Ovis aries: one gene and its partner. The protein of the gene in region 1 interacts with the protein of each later gene in a biochemical or structural test. Links are inferred from orthologs where the notes say so. Each region holds a gene or a part of one and is shown in the gene's direction. Other genes may lie near its edges.

What was found.
Region 2: the proteins of FERMT2 (region 1) and ILK form a complex in vitro, tested with the Homo sapiens proteins (2 studies listed by BioGRID). The link is inferred for Ovis aries from reciprocal best matches to the Homo sapiens genes FERMT2 and ILK.

What each region holds. Positions count from the first base shown.
Region 1 is NC_056060.1:63,642,085-63,652,007, reverse strand, and holds the end of FERMT2 (fermitin family homolog 2), read left to right. Parts: intron 1-737; coding exon 738-844; intron 845-1,113; coding exon 1,114-1,335; intron 1,336-3,268; coding exon 3,269-3,292; intron 3,293-3,826; coding exon 3,827-3,847; intron 3,848-4,422; coding exon 4,423-4,547; intron 4,548-4,873; coding exon 4,874-5,015; intron 5,016-5,966; coding exon 5,967-6,140; 3' UTR 6,141-7,248; downstream 7,249-9,923. UniProt on the Homo sapiens protein: Scaffolding protein that enhances integrin activation mediated by TLN1 and/or TLN2, but activates integrins only weakly by itself. Binds to membranes enriched in phosphoinositides.
Region 2 is NC_056068.1:46,199,890-46,209,912, reverse strand, and holds the start of ILK (integrin-linked protein kinase), read left to right. Parts: upstream 1-4,395; 5' UTR 4,396-4,583; intron 4,584-4,905; exon of another isoform or gene 4,906-4,910; 5' UTR 4,911-4,932; coding exon 4,933-5,021; intron 5,022-6,829; exon of another isoform or gene 6,830-8,810; coding exon 8,811-8,976; exon of another isoform or gene 8,977-9,004; intron 9,005-9,146; coding exon 9,147-9,242; intron 9,243-9,425; coding exon 9,426-9,522; intron 9,523-9,615; coding exon 9,616-9,699; intron 9,700-9,798; coding exon 9,799-9,884; intron 9,885-10,002; coding exon 10,003-10,023. Other genes in the region: RRP8 (ribosomal RNA-processing protein 8), read right to left, coding at 848-967, 1,195-1,291, 1,376-1,482, 1,612-1,741, 1,832-2,285, 2,512-2,881, 4,035-4,133. UniProt on the Homo sapiens protein: Scaffold protein which mediates protein-protein interactions during a range of cellular events including focal adhesion assembly, cell adhesion and cell migration.

The sequences.
Region 1 (9,923 bases):
CTGCATGCCCTTATTTTCATACTGACTTCCCAAGTATATAAGTTTATATTACCTTCTGTGTCAATGGACTTCTAAAATTTTCTGCAAATCAGGAGAGCCTATGCTCCCTGCCTCCCGCAGCCTGTGCCATTAGTCTTCCTTGCACCAGCAATAGGAGGGTAGAGCAGCTGAGTGCGCGAGCAGTGGGATCCTGAGGAGGCCCTCATACAGGACTCTAGCTCACACTGGCTGGTTCCCCACACATGTGCCTTTCTTAAAAGGCATCATAGCCATTTATTCTGACCAGAACACACTTTAGAATTTTATTATGGAAAGATATTTAGACACTTAGCAAAAGTTTCTGTACATTTAAAAACTTAGCAAAAAAAAAAAAAACCCTGATAACTTAAGATTCAAAGAACTGAATGATATTAAAATAATAATGTGTGAAATTTGTGGGAATAGAGTGCAAGTTTTCTTTGTATAATATCCTTTTAATAGAACTCTTTCCTTCTCTTCTCAATCAAGTTTTGAGAAATGTGAGGGCCACAAACTATGCAGTTACATCTCTTGTATATTAGGTCTGAGTTGAGTCTTCTCCGCTCCACCCCCAACTGAATGTAAAGAATTCCCTGATTTGTAGATTCCATGACAGCAAAATCAGCATGTTAAGATACCATAAAATGGGAACTGCCTGTATTGGCTTGGGATTTCTTAAGTCTAAATTTAACCATTTTAATTTTTTTTTTAAACTACAGGGTGTGAAGTTACCCCAGATGTGAATATTTCAGGCCAAAAATTTAACATTAAACTCCTCATTCCGGTTGCAGAGGGCATGAATGAAATCTGGCTTCGTTGTGACAATGTAAGTTTTCTGATTAAAAATAAACCTCAATTTGGGGGATGTCCCTGGTGGGTCCAGTGGTTAAGACTCTGCGCTCCCAATACGAGGGTCATGGGTTCAATCCCCTGGTCAGGGAACTAAGATTCCACATGAACAGTGCAGCCAAAAAAAAAAAAAAAGTAAACCTAGGTTTTCTTTGCTTCCTTAGTGAGTTGACCATTCATTCTTATGTTTTATACTCAAGGATTTATCATGTGATAGATTCCAAACCTCAGTATTTCTTTTCACAGGAAAAACAGTATGCACACTGGATGGCAGCCTGCAGATTGGCCTCCAAAGGCAAGACCATGGCAGACAGTTCTTACAACTTAGAAGTTCAAAATATTCTTTCCTTTCTGAAGATGCAGCATTTAAATCCAGATCCTCAGTTAGTACCAGAGCAGATCACAACTGATATAAATCCTGAATGTCTGGTATCCCCTCGCTATCTAAAAAAGTACAAGAACAAGCAGGTAAACAGTTTTCTACATATACTTTAGTTTCCCCTCTTAAACACTACTTTTTAGTCTTAATTGGTAGTCTTAATTTTGTATCAGGTGGTTAAAATATAAGGAAAAAATAGCTTTCAGTCAGTTTAAATTGGTCATTTAAGAAAAGTCCTTTTTTTAATAGGAAGGATAATAAGGTGGAGTAGTTGGGAGCATATTTATTCTAAACCACCCGAGGAAATCACTATGCTAACAGGATATTCTTTTCAGGGAATTGAATATGGTCTTACTGCTTTGTGTTCCACAGTTCATGCCATTTTATTCCTTAAGTAAAGTAAGTCTGATACAGAGCACAGCCAGCATTTCCCAGCCAAATCTCTGAAGACTCTTTTTGCTGTCAAAATGGACCTTTCCAGCTTTGGAAATAAACTTTACGTGGTTTATAGTCCATGTTTAACATTGTCTTTTCTTAACATTAACAGTCAAAACCTAAGCCAGATTTGCATACTGTGACAACATTTGGTAAATTTTCATTGAAATTCACTGCTTTTGTTCCCTCTGTTTAGAATTCCTTTCCTGGAAATGACTACCATAAAAGGATTGCTATTTAGGAAAATGGTTCTTCGGTCCAACACAAAAGGTTCTTTGCCAGGGGAGTTTCACTTGGGATAGCCCCCAGTATTCTCGATACCCAGCATCATGCCATAAAAGGAAAAAGGCTCCAATTTAGGAAGGGGGTGAAGAAGAACTTTGAAATAAATACTTCATTTTTATCTTTGTTAAGGAGTAATTTTAAAACATTACTGGAAAGGCCCAATGATATACCCAGAACACTTGTTAATTCTTAACTTTAAATAGTGTTTATCATATGGGTCTGAAATCCCTTAGCTGGAAATGTTCAAAAGTTTTAATCACCAAGTATTTGTCTTTTAAGTTGCAGAAGTTGTGTAAGCTACATGGAAATTGTTTATCCCGTAGTCATATGATGTGGGAGTAGTGAGGAATGGAGGAAATGCCCTTGGAGCTGTGTGGAATGTAGATTGTAAGTTAACAAGGGAAAGTGAATCGAGTACTAATTTCATTTTTTAATTCTTAGGTTAGTTCATTTTAAAGTTATTTATAAAGAGACTTGTTTCTAAAAGTGGATTCATTTGCCTTCAAAGTCAATGAATAGTTTCAAATCTAAGCAGTTTACCATTTCACTATCAGGTATCAGGAATAAAAGATCTTAAACTATAATTGTAAAGATTGCCAAATGTTAGTTTAGCTGTCAGGCAGGTACTGAATTGTTTTCCCAATGATAGGTTTAGCTGTGAAAAGATAAATCTTCTTTTGGTGAGTTCTTGACTACAAGTCAACTGAAGATTCTCTTCAAGACAAAGAATGTGTGGCTGTCCTTAACTGACCGGACGGTAGTATGTATGTGGTCTGAGGTTAAGGAGCTTTCTAGCCTTGTCTTCCACATTGTCCTCTTATCAAATGCACATTTATTTTGAATTCTCCTTTCCCTAAGCAGGAGGTTGAGTCAAGTATTGCCCTGACACCTAGTTAAGAGCTGATAAGCAGGAGTTTAGTTGCTGTTGTGTGTCATGTACTGTACTGTTTGTTGGACTTAGTGGCTCAGTAATTGGATTTGTTAAACTGTATAATCCAGTGGCATTTAGGAGTCAGGTAGGTCTAAGCTGTGCAGGCTATGGGGTCATTCAGCCCTACCAGGGCATAAAGTCTTCAGGCGCATATAGCCTTTGTTACAATCTATTTTAATTCCCCAAGACTGTCTATTAAAGTTGCTATGGATATTTTTTTCATAACTATGACTCCCAAACTGGATTTTTACATGTTAGAGGAAAGAATTATTCTTCATTTTATTCATGTTAATCCAAATTGAAATGAACTGATATATTTGTAGCCACCACTCCTAGTGTAGTGTATGGCATATTTTTATTTTCCCTTCCAGGAAAAAGGATGCAAAAAAAAGATGGTAATTGAGGGGTTTGCTTTTCTTTTGTAAATAAAGAAACAGTATGGTCACTGCACTTATTTAATGCCTTCAACTATTTTCTGAAAAGCTGTGCATGGATCATATTATCTGACTCAATATAAGACAAGATTAAAGGCTTTTGAGTATTAATTTTCTTTTTTATCTTGCTACTAAAATAATTAGCTTTACCCTAATCAGTAAGACCTGGTACATGAAGGGGAAAAGATTATTTGCATTTTAAATTTTCTCCCTACAAATTTCTACCCTTAATTTTAGTAACACTTAACAATCTAAAATAATGTGGAGTGTTTCTCAGTATTCTAAATGGAAAGAATCGCTGCTTTCTCATTTTCATTTTCATGCTTGCATTTACTTTGCTTGGTTTCCACCTGAAGTCATTTTTTTGCATGGTTTTTGGCTGGAATTTTGGTTTGCAGGTTACCGCAACTTTTTCTTTGCTTCATTGCCATTTTTTCTGATTGCCTTTTTTTTCTTTCTGCTTCCTTTTTCTTTTCCTCGCATTGCCATCTCCAGCCAGGCTATATAAGAGATTTGGTAAGTTCTCCATATTTAAAAAAAAGAAAGAATTAAAAATATGTAAGCCCTAGCTACAGTCTCCCCTCATGAATTAATTTCCCTCTACTCTTGAGCAGATAGGCATCCCAAAGTGAGTAAACTTAAAAACTAACCTTTCTAATTACTCCTTTAGAAAAATTTTAAAATCATTGCAGTGATTTCTAGTGCTAGAAACCTGTATGGCAGGCACTCATTCTGATCAGATATCTTGGTACTGAACTTAAAACCCATCAGTATATGAGGATTAGAACTTGTGTTATCATATGTGTGTGTACTTGAAAAAGTCTCAACAATTATATATACCTACTAGTACTTATTCTTTCTTGACATACGGAACTAAAATTAAGAAAAACTATATATTGAAGTTTAGTTTGGAAAGTCATTAGTTTACTAAAATTCCCAAATGTATTTTCAGATATTTTCTGATTTCGTCTCTCCCAATACGTAATTTTGGGGCATGGGGCACATAATTCAGTGTTTTAATCTTTTTTTGTCTTGATTCTACCATGAAAGAATAATATCTAATAGTAAATATGATGTTTACTCATGTTTAGATAACGGCAAGAATCTTGGAGGCCCATCAGAATGTAGCTCAGATGAGTTTAATTGAAGCCAAGATGAGGTTTATTCAAGCTTGGCAATCATTACCAGAATTTGGCATCACACACTTTATTGCAAGGTCAGTGGTTCTACTCAGCTCCGATGTGTAAACCTCAGTCTGTGCCTTCTTACTTAATTGACTTCATGTAATTAGAAATTAAACATTTAAAGCTACCTACTGAAACCCATTAACCTATTACACAGTAAAATTTAAAGAATGTTGGAATGTATTTTCTCTGCTTATAATTTTTTCACCAAAAATTTAAAGTGATTTCATTTCTCTTTTTACTCAGGCAAGAATAGCACTTTAAGAGTTAAAAAGTACATATCTTCAAGAAAAACAGACCAACATGTCCCCCTACCACCTCTGTTTTAAAACATGTATTTATGTTTTTAATTCTGTAGGTTCCAAGGGGGCAAAAAAGAAGAACTTATCGGAATTGCATACAATAGACTGATTAGGATGGACGCCAGCACGGGAGATGCAATTAAAACCTGGCGTTTCAGTAACATGAAACAGTGGAATGTAAACTGGGAAATAAAAATGGTAAGCTGTAACCATCCTGCTTGAACACATACACATAGTCGATCTGCTAAAAATGAATTAATTAAGAAGAAAAGGCCCTATAAATGTTTAAGATTCTTTGTGCCATTTCCTCTTAAAGTATAAAACATGCTTGGTTGTTCATTTCCTACTTGCCTATTTTATAAGTAGCCCAGATACTTGTAAGAGCGTAATATGTTACAATATTGGCTAATCTTTCAGGTTGTCTTTCTGTAATGAATTTATTCCCTTTCCACTCACAAATAGCAGCTGCTCTTTAGTGAATGCCTGCTTTGTGCCAAGCATGATAGTAGATGTTTTACATCTGTACCCTATTTCTAAACATTACCCCAGCCCTGCAAGGTAGATGGATTATCCCCACTGTACAAATGAAGGCCATTGTTGTCCATGACTGCACACTGAGAATTAGGATTTAAACTGGGATACTTCGGGCTCTAAAGCCTGGCACACCATGCTACCCCTCGCCTTGGAGTATATGACTCTCACTTAAACAGAATATTTCCCTAATAAGTCCTTTGTTTTAGGGTCATTGGATTTGTACTGATTTCAATTACTTCATAGAATCTTGTATTTCTGAAATATTCAAACATGAAACCTAAAGGTTAAATAGCTAAACACAGGAAATAGGTTTTCTCCCAGGACTTGAAGGGAGACACTCATTAATTGAATCACCAGAGACCTTTTGGGAACTTAATGACCTAAGCCTCTTGCATTCAGCCTTCCTTTTCAGAACAAGAAAAAAGGAGAGGAAGGGCTATAAACTTCTACTTATGCTTTTGGACTTGAAGGCATTATTAGTTTAGGATTAAAAAAATTTTTTTTGAGGACCAGCAAGTATTTTATGATCAGGACAGACCTTAAGTATAGTGGCCTCACTTGGACCCAGCCGTCTGGACTTCTGCAGGGACTGATGGTTCTCTGTCTTTGTTCTAGGTCACTGTAGAGTTTGCAGATGAAGTACGGTTGTCCTTCATTTGCACTGAAGTAGATTGCAAAGTGGTTCATGAATTCATTGGTGGCTACATATTTCTCTCAACACGTGCAAAAGACCAAAATGAGAGTTTAGATGAAGAGATGTTCTACAAACTTACCAGTGGTTGGGTGTGAACAGAAATGCTGTGTAATGAAACTCCATGGCCATAACAGTTATTTAACTTTAAAAGCTGTTGTTTGTTATATGCTGCTTAATAAAGTAAGCTTGAAATTCATTATTTTATCATGAAAACTTTTTTGCCTTACCAGACCAGTTAATATGTGCACTAACAAGCACGACTATTAATCTGCTATCATGATACAATGTATGGACTTGAATATGGCACATGTTCCTTAGAGCCAGGAATTGAAACTGAAGTAGTGGGTAAGTTAGGAACAAAACATCACTGATTCAAGCTAGCCAAACTGTAAGAAACTCAAGCCATCTACTTTAAAGCTATCCAGGGCTTAAACTATATGAAGTCTATTTATCATGTTTAATGCATGTGTTTTAATATATGTTTAATTTGACCTCATAATTTTTCAAATATCATACTTTTGGTAGCCATCTGTCATCCGTTTCCCCCCCCCCAACCCCAAAATAAATTAGGCCTACAAAAGGTGCCTGGTATTTAATAATGTCATTGTTTGATCTTGAAGGAAAATGCTATTAGTCGTTATGCCTGGTTTTTGTCCTTGAATAAGCATGTATGTATATTGTCTTGTGTTTTTATTTTTACACCATATTGTATTACAACACTTTTAGTATTCACCAGCATATTCACTGTCTCCTAAAATATGCAACTTTTGCATTACAATATGAAGTAAAGGTCTATGAAGTATGCATTTTGTGTAACTAATGTACAAACACAAATTTTATAAAATTGTACAGTTTTTTAAAAATCTACTCACAACTAGCAAATGGCTTAGATGTAGCATCTTTGCATTAATTAAATGCTCTTTAAAATATAATTAATGTGCAGTTTTAATATCTGCTAAATTAAGGATGACTTCATTATAGTCATGATTTGCCACAATGTCCTTAACTCTAATGCCTGGACTGGCCGTGTTCTAGTCTGTTGCGCTGTTACAACCTGCATTGGTGCTAGTCAGAAAATTCCTAGCTCACATAGCCCAAAAGGGTGCCAGGGAGGGGTAGATTACCAGTATTGTTCAATAATCCATGGTTTAAAGACTGTATAAATACATTTTATTTTAAATAAAAGCAAAATCTTTTATTTAATGTTTCTTTTGTACTTCTTGTTTTTTCTGTTCACATGACATGAGCTGTGTAGACATGAACTTTCGCTTTTGTAAACGCTGTACCTGCAGCTTGTGAGAACAGTGTGCTTAGTATTCTGCAGTGTCACCAGACAGGCGTACTTAACCTTGAAGGTGAAGTCTTCCACTTCAGGTGAAACCCCTCATTTTTCCTGCTACTTGAGGATAAACTGTAAAATATTTATGTTAGAAATGTAGCTATAAATAGAAATATGACAGATGAACTGACGCTGCTGGCTTGAGCAGAACTGATTTTAAACAGCAAAATGACTCAGTTTAAGAAAACACATTTTTTAAATGAATTTACTCTGTATTGTTACTGCTATTGCATCATCACTCAGACTCAAAACTTCAGTTCTGGACTTTCTCCTTCACCCCTTGCAATTAATAAGGCCAAGCCCTGGTGATACTCGCTCGTGCAGCCCAGTGCCTTTCTTCCATCTCTGCTCTCACTGTCCCCTGAATGCAGATCTTTGGCCTATGTCACATTCTCCATGGCTTTTCTTTGTACTCTAAGGCCAGGTCGTAACAAGCCTTGCTCAAAAATTTAAGAGCTCCTTCCCATTAAAAAAAAAAAAAAAAGTAAAAATATGTTCCTGTTCCTCCTCTTAAGTACAGGTCATCAACTTATACTGTCACTTGCTAAAAGCCCCAAATATATTTAGTCTATGGCACACACCTGCGTCCTTGCTGGTCCCACGGCCTCCCCACAAGGGAGAATAGCCTCTGTGCTGATTGTTCAGCCTCTGGTGGCCCTTCTGCCCTCCCAGGGATTTTGAGATTAGTTTAGCCCCAACACAGCACCAGGCTGTATTTCAGCTCTTCTAGTAACTCCTGGTTGCTCACAGCATAAAATCTAATGGTCCCCAGTCAAACGTTCAGAGGTCTTCTGTGGCCTGTTCCCCAGCTCAAACTGGGCGACTGCAGACACACTGCCCTCACCCATCTCCATTCATTGCCCAAACCTTCTAGTCGCCACCTGTTCACATCTGAGCTTTCTAGCATTTTAGAAATTTTAGAAAGAGGTCAAATGTTCTTTCATCCACTAGTACTTCCAACTTTCCTTGTAGCCAAACATTTTCTCTTACTCCTTAGAACTGCCACTGAATTTGGTCCTTTTTGGAACTTAAGAGCAGTCATCCTTATTAGGATTGAGTATATCCTATTGCCCCTAATAAATTATTACTTGAGTTATTACTTTTTTGAGGACTGGATCTGAGCGTTGTGGTTTCTACCTAGGATCTATTAACATATATTTGTTTATTGAATATAGTGATGGTTGTTACAACTTGGAACTTTTCAGCCTCAGTTGAATATGGAGGAAACACTTTTTGGATACTCTCTGCACTGAGAGGCATGCTAAGTGCTTTCACATACATTATCTCTTCTAAAAGTGTCAGTCACTTGGTCATGTCCAACTCTTTGCAGCCCCACAGACTATAGCCTTCCAGGCTCATCTGTCCGTGGAATTCTCCAGGCAAGAAAACTGGAGTGGGTTGCCATGACCTCCACCAGGGGATCTTCCTGACCCAGGGATAGAACCTAGGTCTCGTGGATTGCAAGCAGATTCTTCACCATCTGAGCCACCAGGAGAGCCCTTTTTAAAAGATTCATGCAACTCTCCCTCCTCATTTTGTAGATGAAGCTCAGTGAAGCCAAGTAACCTGTTTGAAGTCACATGGCTATAACTGACAAATGGCAAGGCAGAGCTAGAAGTGGAACCCTGATTTCCATCTCCCTATCCAGTGGTACTTCATGAATCCTGGGGAGCCCTATTGATGGTGGTCCCTACAGAGATGACAGCAGTCAACGAAAAAAACACCACAGGGCCTCTAGACACAGCTTCTGGTTTCTGCTCAGTAACTCATTTTCAGGTAGACACGAAGGCACAGGGGACAAGAGACTAAGCTCTCTTGCAACTCGTTCTCTTACAACAGCAGTTTAAAGACCAGCTGGAAGCCCCTGATGCAGTTGGTCACTAATCTTCACTTGGTACAAATAATTTTTTATGCAACGTCGAACTTCGAAAGTCAAGGACTTAAAGACATGGACTTGTTTTTCCCCAGGCATTACAGAGGGATAATTTGCAAAACTGTAAGGTATTTACAGTGTACACTGTGGTGATTTGATCTACATCCAGAAGGATGTAGATCATACACTCTATACACCACCACGTCAGAGACATGAACTTTGTGGAAGGAAAGCCACTTGGCAGTTCTTGGCCAGTGTAGAGATAGTGCTTATTTCATTTTATATTCCATAGTTTTGTTCTTTATTATGTTAAAAGTTTTATTGAGGTGCTTTTAATAATTTATCAGTTAGTGATGTAGTGGGATCAGACCAATCTGGGTTCCTGGCCTTTAATTTATCTGGGAGATAACTGCACAGAGTTAAAGAAAATGTTTCAAGTACACAACAATTTACCTACATTAAATGTAGTAGTTTCCCAGTAAAATATTAGTTGGTTTTTTTTTTTTTAACTCAAAACTTCTTTGATACTCTGGAATGCATGCTTATCTTATACTTTTCTTAATTATTTCTACCCCGTATAATTGTTTGACAAGGGCTGCTGCTGTGTTTGACCATCAGTCAAAACATGGTAACATACTCACTGCTCTGATAATTCAGAAAATAAGA
Region 2 (10,023 bases), on another chromosome or scaffold:
TACCGATTTCCTCATTAACCCATACAACAATCCTATGAGTCAGTAATTCTATCATTTACCAAACAAGCAGCAAGACATTCAAAGAGTAAAAGGCTCTCGGCAGTCAATGGCAGGCCTACCTGATTCCAATATCTGTGCTCTCAGCCAGCCAAACACCAGGGCCCGACAGAACAACAGATGCTAGGAGGGTTAGGGCCATTCAGCTCCAAAGATGGAGGTGACAGTCAGGGGAAAAAAGTCCTCAGTACAGGGACAATCAAACCATCTTGACCGAGACGTCCAGATGATGTTGGTGGACTACAGCCAAGGTGCCTCTGCTGATGCGAGGGCTGCTGCACTTACTCTAGAGCCAAGCTGCTCTAGAGCCAAGAAGGCTTTGGGCCTTAAGGATCTGTGGCCTTAAAGGCCCGGGCAGACCAAAGCTGTAAAAGCTTTGAGTGAGCAGAGGGATCTGGTGTGCAGACAGGAAAATCAGAACAGAGAGTGGAGCTGCTAGGACAGAAAGCTTATATGGCTCTTGAGAGATGGAAACAGACACCAAACCCAGAGATGCCTTGAATTCCAAACCATGTAGTTTCCATGACACTGAGGGGATCCGTAATTCCCACATACTCCTGTGTTCTCACAGTGAACTCCTTACTCTTTAGCTAGCCCTAACGACTTTATGCTTTCTAGAACCAAGAAGCCTTCATCACAGCAGGGTTGAGCCGAGTTTCATTACATTTTGTTCTTGAGATGGAGTAAGGGTGGTACCAGGCCCTGGGTCACAGTCTGGCTGGATACAGTCTTCAGAGTACTGAGTCTGGAGTTTAAGATTTGCCGCCCCGTTCAAGGGGGGCTCCAAAGGTCACCTGCGCTTGTAGAGACAAGGCTGAAGCTTCAGGCCTGAGAGCTGAGTCTTGGGCCCTACCCGAGGGGGCCCGGTCTTTTCAAAGTCAAACAAGAAGAAGTGGCTGTTGGTCAGATCCTAGGGACAGAAAAGACCCAGTGAGCTCTAAGTCCTCACCCCAGCTCTTCAAATCACCTCTGTCCAGGCCCCACCCCTGCTCAGAAAGCTTCCCAGCTCTCTCCCACTACTCAAGCCTTCAAGGAGCAAACATCTCTGTCTGACAATGACCTCCTTCCTGAACACCATTATTAGCCTGAAGGGCCACCTATATGACAAAAATAGGACAGACTTCCTGGGGCCCTCACCTTGGAGATGACCTTGAAGCCCAGTTTGGTGACAGCCCCCAGAAAAGTCCGAACATCTTCAAAGCGGCTGCTGACCTCAGCCACTTTCAGGAGACCCCTGAGAAGGACGGAAAGTTCTGGGTAAGTACACCGACACGCGCATGTGCACACAGTCATGCAGCTGTGTCCTGGGAACACCTACCCTGGCTTCAGCACTCGATTTGCCTCCTCCAGGAAGTCTCTGATGTTGGTTCCCATCAGTGAAAGGCAGAACACAGCCACATCTATAGATTCATCCTCCAGAGGCACCTGTGGAGAGTGAGAAGGTTGTACTAAGCACACATTATAGGAAGGAGAAAGCCAGCACTGAACGCTAGGAGTAGACACAAGGATGCAGGGTGGGCAGAGCGCATTTCATGGAAGGAGAGAGGGGCTTACCTGGGCCATGTCACACACAGTGACCCGGGGGTCCAGAGAGGCCAAGTCAAAGCAGTGTACACGGTTCCGGATACTTGAAGCCAGGCGGCAGTCCCCACAGCCAAAGTCAGCTACCACTAGGGACGCAGGCCTGGGAATGGAAGGGAGGAAGAGCTCACTGGTCTGGTCTGAGCCTGGGACTGACACGCCTAGCTTTTCACAGCGCCCGATTTTCACTAACCGCTGGCGAAGATCCCTGGCGATGCGGTCTACCGGCTGCAGTGGCCACTTCTTGACTTGGTTCTGGAAGCCACGGTGGTAGAGGAGAAAGGCCTCAGGGTCTTCCTGGAAGAGGCGCTGCGCAGCACTGCTGGGCCCTGAGTACAGCTGTTCATTGAGGTAGCGGAACCGGGCACCATCCAGACGCTGGGCCATGCGGGCTCGAAGAGCCTCTGCCCGGGCTCCATGGCTGTCTGGACTGGGGGCAGAAGGCACCTCTGCCTCCTCTGCAGAGGCTGGGGCTGGGGCCTGCTCTGGTGGCTGAGATGGCCGAAACTTGTTCTTCTGTCTACGCTTGTTCTTCTGCCGGTTCCGCCATTGCTTGCGACTCAACGTATGGGGAGGATTAGAGGAAGGGGTCTCACAGGTTGGCTTGGTGAGATCACTTGTAGCACTAGAATTCCAAGCTTTAGAATCTGAAGAAAGAGAGATAGAAAGGCATACTGGGGAGCAAGATACCCTGAATTCAGAGACTTAGCATGTCACCCTGGCCATACCCCTGTCCCTAAGACAGAAACTGTGGTCTATGGGAAAGTACTTCTTATTCCCTAACTCCACACCTACTGGTGGCAGAGGAACTCTGTTATAGGTAGGGTCAGCTGAATCCCACACCCCCAGCCCTCATCATCCCACAAATACTACCTGTTTGGTCAACACTGTCCAGGGGCTGGGCAAGATTTGAAGGGATCTGTTTCTGGCATTTCCTCTTTTTTTTCTCTTCTTCTGCCAGGTCACTGCCAAGAAGAACCCCTTTGTGGCACTTCTTCCTTTCCACTTCCTCTTCCTTGGAGTCACTGCTAGGTGGGCCCTGTTTGTGACGTTTCTTCTTCCTTTTCTCCTCTACTTCACTAGACGCACCAGCAAACAAGCCCTTTTTCGTGCGTTTCTTCTTTGTTCCCACTACCTCCTCCTCCTCCTCAGAGTCACTGCCAGGCAGGCTAGGGGGCTGCTGGGGAACAGATGCTACCTCCAGGGCCCGTAATGTGGCCAAGAGCTGGCGGCGGTTGGCGCCCTGGGGGAAAACAAGGGATGAATGCAGGGGTGAGGAGAATGGATGGGGCCTAGGGAGTAAGAAGAGAGATGGGGACCTCACTCAGATGCTGTAACGAGGCATCTGGATTATTCTCAATCAACTTACCTAGCCTAACACGAAGACTGTCAGGGCCTGAAGAACTTTCAAAACTGCCATCCCAACCTTTGGGAGGCTGGAGAGCAGAGAAACCACCCACCTCACTTTCTTCATTGGATAGATGAGGTGATGGGGTTCCCAGAGAAACACTGTAAGGCCACGAGCTACAGGACCGAGGCTAGTGACCGGGAGTTCCAACTCTCAATCTCAGGTTTCTACCTCTAGCTAATACCTTTTTATAAAAAGTAGGAAGATTTTTGAAAATAAGAGTGACATGATCACACATGTGTGTATTAAAGATGCCTCCAGTTGCAGTGTAAAGAACCGAAAGAAAAAAAAAAAAAACACTGAAAGAGACAAGCTGCAGACAGAGGCCAGTGGCGGGGATTACAGCAGTGGGTCGAGGGGTTGAAGAGGAGAGAATAAAGCAGGCAGATTTCATGTCACAGGCTGACTGAAGGACAGAAAGAGCCTGAGCAAGTGCAGCAGCCCTCACATCGGCAGAGGCTTAAAGGAGGACTACTGTCTGGGAGGCCGTTCTGGACTAAGTCCCACTGGACGGATCCCTCATCCTGGAGACTCTCAGTACTCCCTCAGCTCCAGCTCCCTTTGAACAGCGGCACTGACAGCCCTCGTTGCCATTCAGTTTTGCTCTTTTCAATCTCCACACGGCAACCAGTGACATTTTCAAAACGCAAATCTGAAGAAATCATCCCCCTGCTAAAACACTCCATTGGCTTCTATCTTTAACGTGCAAATATTCTAACGTAGCCCTCCAATTTCTACCACACTGCCTCTCATTCTGTGTCATGCTCCCTTGACCCGGGTCTCTCCACATGCCTTTCCTTCCAAGAAACCCTCTTTGCTTCACTAACTTCTACTCACCAATTCTCTCTCAGTTCCAACGTCACTTTCTTTTGGAAGTTCCGGATCTGGGGAGGCTGCAAGCGGCCCCCCTCCCCCTAATTACACACGCGGCGCGCCCCAGCTCCGGAATCCAGCAGTCTGTTCTGAGTACTCCTGCAGGGCCACTCACCTTGATTTGAGAGGTTGCCGTGGGCCGAAGCCCTAAGGCTACAGACCCGAGGTCCGCGACTACAGGGGCCTCCTCGGCCCACTCCGGCTCCTCGAACATGGGGCTGGGGAGCGCAAGGTTGCGGGATCCACCCGCTTCTCCACGTGCAGACCACGTCTCTAAGAATCAGACCGCTCAGAGACGCCGGAACAGGGCAGGAAACCAAAGAGTGAGAGCTGAAGTGGCTAGAGCAGCCGGCGCAGTGCCGAAAACCATCGAGTTTAGACACTGGTGGGCTAGAAGGGCAAGGAAGGCGGGAGGGAGGGGCCGGGAGAAGGAGGCCCGCGCTGGCCTGAGAGGGCCAGGGGCGGGGCCGGGCGGCGGGCGCGGCCGGACGGGAGTTCCCCGGAGAAGGCTCCTCTAGCCCGAGTCCCGGTGAGTGTGGGGGCACCCGTGCCCCCTCCCCAAGGCTCGAGCTTTACCAGGCGGTCACCCCTCCCTCCACCTACTCGGTTCCGAGTCGGGAACGAGGGCCATCCTCGGCAAGGACCTCCGATCGCCTCCTCCAGGGTATACGGCGCCTAAACTCCCCACCCCCACCCCCCAGCTCTGTTCGCGGGTAGGGTCTCTGTGCTTGCTCTCGTGACATCCCTTCGGAAGACACTACCTCTTCATCAACGCCTACTTCGCCCGATCCGCCTTTCCCTCGCGCTCAAGGGACACAGTCCAGGACCATTCCGCTGCCTCCCTAACTCCTTACAGACATCCAGTAGCTGGGGACGCAGAGCCCAGACCCCCAGCCCAACACCACACTTCTCTCCTGTAGGGGACAAAGCCTGGGGCTCACCCCCCCCCCCCCCAAGATCCTTCTACAGTTCCCACACTTTCCCAGTCTAGGGGACTCTGCCGGGACGCTGCTATGGACGACATTTTCACTCAGTGCCGGGAGGGCAACGCGGTTGCGGTCCGCCTGTGGCTGGACAACACGGAGAACGACCTCAACCAGGGGTGAGCTGGGGTGGCTGGGGGGCGAGAGGAAGGGCAAAGACATGCTCCTCTCCGCTCTGTGGGGTGCTCACTTCTGGTGCGGGCGGCTTACTTTCCTATTCAGTGTGATGAGGATTAAACAGCCTGTCAGCGGGGCAGAGGGTCTCCACACCGGAAGCTGTTGTTTGAGCTGAATCTTGACTGAATAAGAATTTACAGGCAGAATCTGCAGAGTATTCTAACTTCAGTGAACCTCATGGGCAAAAGCTAGGGGGCAAGACACGGAGCAGAGAGTGCCAGAAACTGTCCGGAGCTCCATATGGCTAGAGGAGAGAAAACCGCTGGGCTTCTGTGGGCTAAAGCTCTAAGCACAAGTGCAGAATGACAGAAGTTAAGACTGGAAAGGTCTGCAAGGGTCAGTCAGATCATGCAAGAGTATTTAGGCTATAATAATTTTTTATTGCAAGGGCAAGGGTTTAGAGCCATGTAATGGTACGATGAGATTGTCCATTTGTTAAGTGTCATCTTGGATGCTTTATGAAGAGCAAGTGGTGATGTGAAGAGAGGCAACTAACTGCCTAGTCCATCTCAAGTGGTGATGGCTTAGACTAGAATTGGGACAGGCAAAAAAGAAAAAAGTGATCAAATTCCTGAGATCTTTTGGATAAAGAATTGGTGAGACTTGGTGTGGAAAGTGAGGTCAAAGATGATGATCAGGGTTCTGGCTTGGGTAGATAGTGGTTCCTTTTATTGAGAAGGACAAGGCTGAAGGGTGGTGAGTTCCACTCTGCACACATTTAAGTGACAATAAAGTGGATGTGGAGTGGGCTGCTGGATTTCAGGAGAGATCTGACTTGGAGACAAAGATTTGGGCGATATTAGCATGACTGGAGAAGGCAATGGCACCCCACTCCAGTACTCTCGCTTGGAAAATCCCATGGACGGAGGAGCCTGGTAGGCTGCAGTGCATGGGGTCGCTAAGAGTCGGACACGACTGAGCGACTTCACTTTCACTTTTCATTTTCATGCATTGGAGAAGGAAATGGCAACCCACTCCAGTGTTCTTGCCTGGAGAATCCCAGGGACGGGGGAGCCTGGTGAGCTGGTGTCTATGGGGTCGCACAGAGTCGGACATGACTGAAGCGACTTAGCAGCAGCAGCAGCAGCAGCATGAAGATGGGCTTCCCAGATGGCTCAGCAGTAAAGAATCTACTTGCCAGGGCAGGAGCTGGCAGGAGATGCGGGTTCAACCCCTGGGTCTGGAAGATCCTCTGGAGTAGGAAATGGCAACCCACTCCAGTATTCTTGCCTGAGAAATCCCATGGACAGAGGAGCCTGGAAGGCTGGTCCATGGGGTTGCAAAGTCAGACATGACTAAGCATGTACACGCATGCACACACAGACACACACAGCACGTAGATGGCACCTGAAGAGGTGGATATGAAACCGGATGAGAAACCTAGAAGACCAAACAGGAAAATATGCTGCTGCTGCTAAGTCGCTTCAGTCGTGTCCGACTCTGTGCGACCCCACAGACACCAGCTCACTAGGCTCCCCCGTCCCTGGGATTCTCCAGGCAAGAACACTGGAGTGGGTTGCCATTTCCTTCTCCAACGCATGAAAGTGAAAAGTGAAAGTGAAGTCGCTCAGTCGTGTCCGACTCTTAGCGACCCTATGGACTGCAGCCCACCAGGCTCCTCCATCCATGGGACTTTCCAGGCAAAAGTACTGGAGTAGGCTTAAAGAAGTGAATGTTTCAATGAAAGGAGTGGTCAGTGGTACTCTAGATTGCTAAGAGGTCAAAGAACTTGAGCACTAAAGTGTAACCATTGAATTTACAATTATTTATGTATTTAATGATCTCTGTGAGAGCCGTTTCAGAGGAAAACAAGTGAAAAAAACCAGACTATACTTGGTTCCTTCATTTAAGGAACTATACTGAACACGCACTGGGTGCTAGAAGTCCAGAATCAGGCATAATGCTTGTCCTCAAGGCAGTGGTCTCCTGGGCAGGTTGAATGTGAAGTAGAGAAAGTGAATGTAGACAAGTTCTTTAAGGTTGGCTGAGACAGGAAGGCAAGAAAAGCAGTAGTGATGCTGATTCAGGATCGTAGAATTTTTTTAAAGTGAGGAGAAAATAGATTTTAGGTTTGAGAGTTAAGGATCACCTGTCACTTTCATCCAGGCTTTATGGGTCCCCATTAGACTCTACGCTATTTCTCTATAATTCACACTCGTTCCATTTTTCATATAATTCTTCAAACGGTGCTCTGATAAAGACAGAGAACACAGCTACTATTTTGTTGGTGGCATCATAAAGGTTAGGTAACTTTTTCCAATGAAGCTGGCATCAAAGAGTGGTATTAGTGAAAGTGGTGCAGGTATGAGTGGAAGGGCTTCGGGGCCCCAACTGGGTATATGGTGGATATTAAGTAAGGGTCAATTTCCTGCTGGTCGCTTTGGGATTAAAGTTCAGGCTCTGAGGTGACCGGAGCATGGCAGTGGGCAGAACCCTTGTGCCCATACTTTTGCTGTCAGGCTCTGGCCTTCTCTGGGGCCACAGACCGCCAGAGGCTGATAAACTGGGGCACAAATTAAAGAACTGGGATGCAAAACTGACTGATAAGTAAGGGGTGGTGATTGCTTTAGGAAGAGGGAGGGAATACCTCCCAGAAAAGCTTTTGGCTATCTTTGTGAACAGATGAGGGCAGCTGTAGAGGGAAATCAGTAAGTTAAAGGTCACACCCACCACCCATTTTGGCTTTGAGGACATCTGGATTGCCTGGGGTGACCATACCCCTGATCAGCTCCAGGCCCCGCCTAGAGCCCCCACACGGGAAGTGACCGCAGCACTAAGGCATCCGGAGGCTGACGGCCCAGACCACGGACCGCCCCCTTAGCTCCGCCCCTTGGATCTGCAGCCCAGGACTGGAGGGAATTTCCTTTTATGGCCCCAGGCTGTCAGGCAGGCCTAGTTTCCACCCAATTGTGGTTTTGTTGTTGTTGTTTTTTATACATTTAACTTTATAAAATAGAGAAGTTCTTGGGAAAAGAAAAAAGTTAGGTACAGCTTTCTAATTAAGTCATTCTCATTTTCTTGTTTTCTGTACCTAGGATTGCTTAAGAATCCTGTCTTATGTGGCGGTATCTGCCTCATGAATGACTTACCCAAAGCATTTCTCCTTTTCATTATAAACCCCTCCAAACCATCATTTTAATTCCATTCCCTTTTTAGATTCTAATTTCAGTATCAGAACCAAAACCAATCAGTAAACTTGCTTCCTCTTCCATAAACTGTGGCTTTTCTTCTCAAAGCTTCCCTTCCTTCCTATTAACATGCACTGAACAGCTGCTGTCAATTCTCAAAAAGCTTAGTCTAATAGACAAGACAGCCCATTTAACAGATTTTTACAATCCAGTGTGACAAGTACCTATGTAGTAAGGCAGTGTACAAGATATGGTGAAAACAGAAAAGAACCAACAGATGTTGCCAAAGGGGTGCAGAGGAAACCAGATGAAGAATGTTACCATTTAATGATAGAAGGTGCCTGGGAAGAAAGGCTAGAGGGAGATGAAAACAGTGAATCATATGGAATTGTTGGGATTTCAGGTAGTGGTTGGTTGGGTTTGAAACTCGGGAAGGTCTGGACTGGACAGCTTTGGGAGTTGCTGGCATGAATGAGAATCAAAGTTCTAGAGGTAAGGCTTCCCAGGGAAGAGTATGCAGAGAGAATATTAAAGTTTTTCCTGTGTCAAAGCCTTTGCCCCCATCCCACTTCCAAATCAATGACCCTTGCGCCTTCCTCATAGGGATGATCATGGCTTCTCCCCCTTGCACTGGGCCTGCCGAGAAGGCCGATCTGCTGTGGTTGAGATGCTGATCATGCGGGGGGCACGAATCAATGTGATGAACCGTGGGGATGATACCCCTCTGCACCTGGCAGCCAGTCATGGGCACCGTGATATTGTACAGAAGGTATGTATGAACCCCTTGATGCACATGCCTGGAAGTAAGACACAGGCATTATAACATAACGTACAAAGTATGTGTACTCATCTCCTTCCTTCCTTGCATGCCTTAGTACACTTCTCTCATTTGGGACTGACTGTACCTTCTACCTCTTTCTATTTGGCTATGGGCACCAGCTGCTACAGTACAAAGCTGACATCAATGCGGTGAATGAGCATGGGAATGTGCCCCTGCACTATGCCTGTTTCTGGGGCCAAGATCAGGTGGCAGAGGTGAGTACTCAGGCCCTGAACTCTGGGATGGGTGGGAAGAAGTTTGAGCTTGAGTGGGAGACTCTGGAACCCTCAACCCATCCTGTGAGTACTGTCCTGTGTGCAACATTCACAAGGTTTGTACTGCATCTGCACTCATGCTTAGTTGGGAATGCCCTCATCACAGCCATCTCTTAATTCCAGGACCTTGTGGCGAATGGGGCCCTTGTCAGCATCTGTAACAAGTATGGAGAGATGCCTGTGGACAAAGCCAAGGCACCCCTGAGAGAGCTGCTCCGAGGTCTGTCCCCACCCACCGCTGTGTCCTCGTCTTGTCCTAGCCTGTCTCTTTCCACACAACAGCTGAGGTCAAGACTTTGTCTTTCTTCCCCAGAGCGGGCAGAGAAGATGGGCCAGAATCTGAACCGTATTCCATACAAGGACACATTCTGGAAGGGGACTACCCGCACTCGGCCCCGTGAGTCAGCTGTGAGGGGAGGGGTGGTGAGAGAATAGTCCTGGACTCCTGGGGCTGGGAAAGAGGGAAGCTGGGTGCCTGACCTGCCCACACTCTCAGGAAATGGGACTCTGAACAAACACTCCGGCATTGACTTCAAACAGCTCAACTTCCTGGCGAAGCTCAACGAGAATCACTCTGGAGAGGTAACTCCCCACCCCACCCTATTACCTGTTGTGCACCTGTTTTAAGTCTCTCCTCCAGTTAGTGGGCAAGAAAACAGTGGCCTTAGTTAAAGCCTTCTAACCCTTATCTGTCCCTCAGCTATGGAAGGGCCGCTGGCAG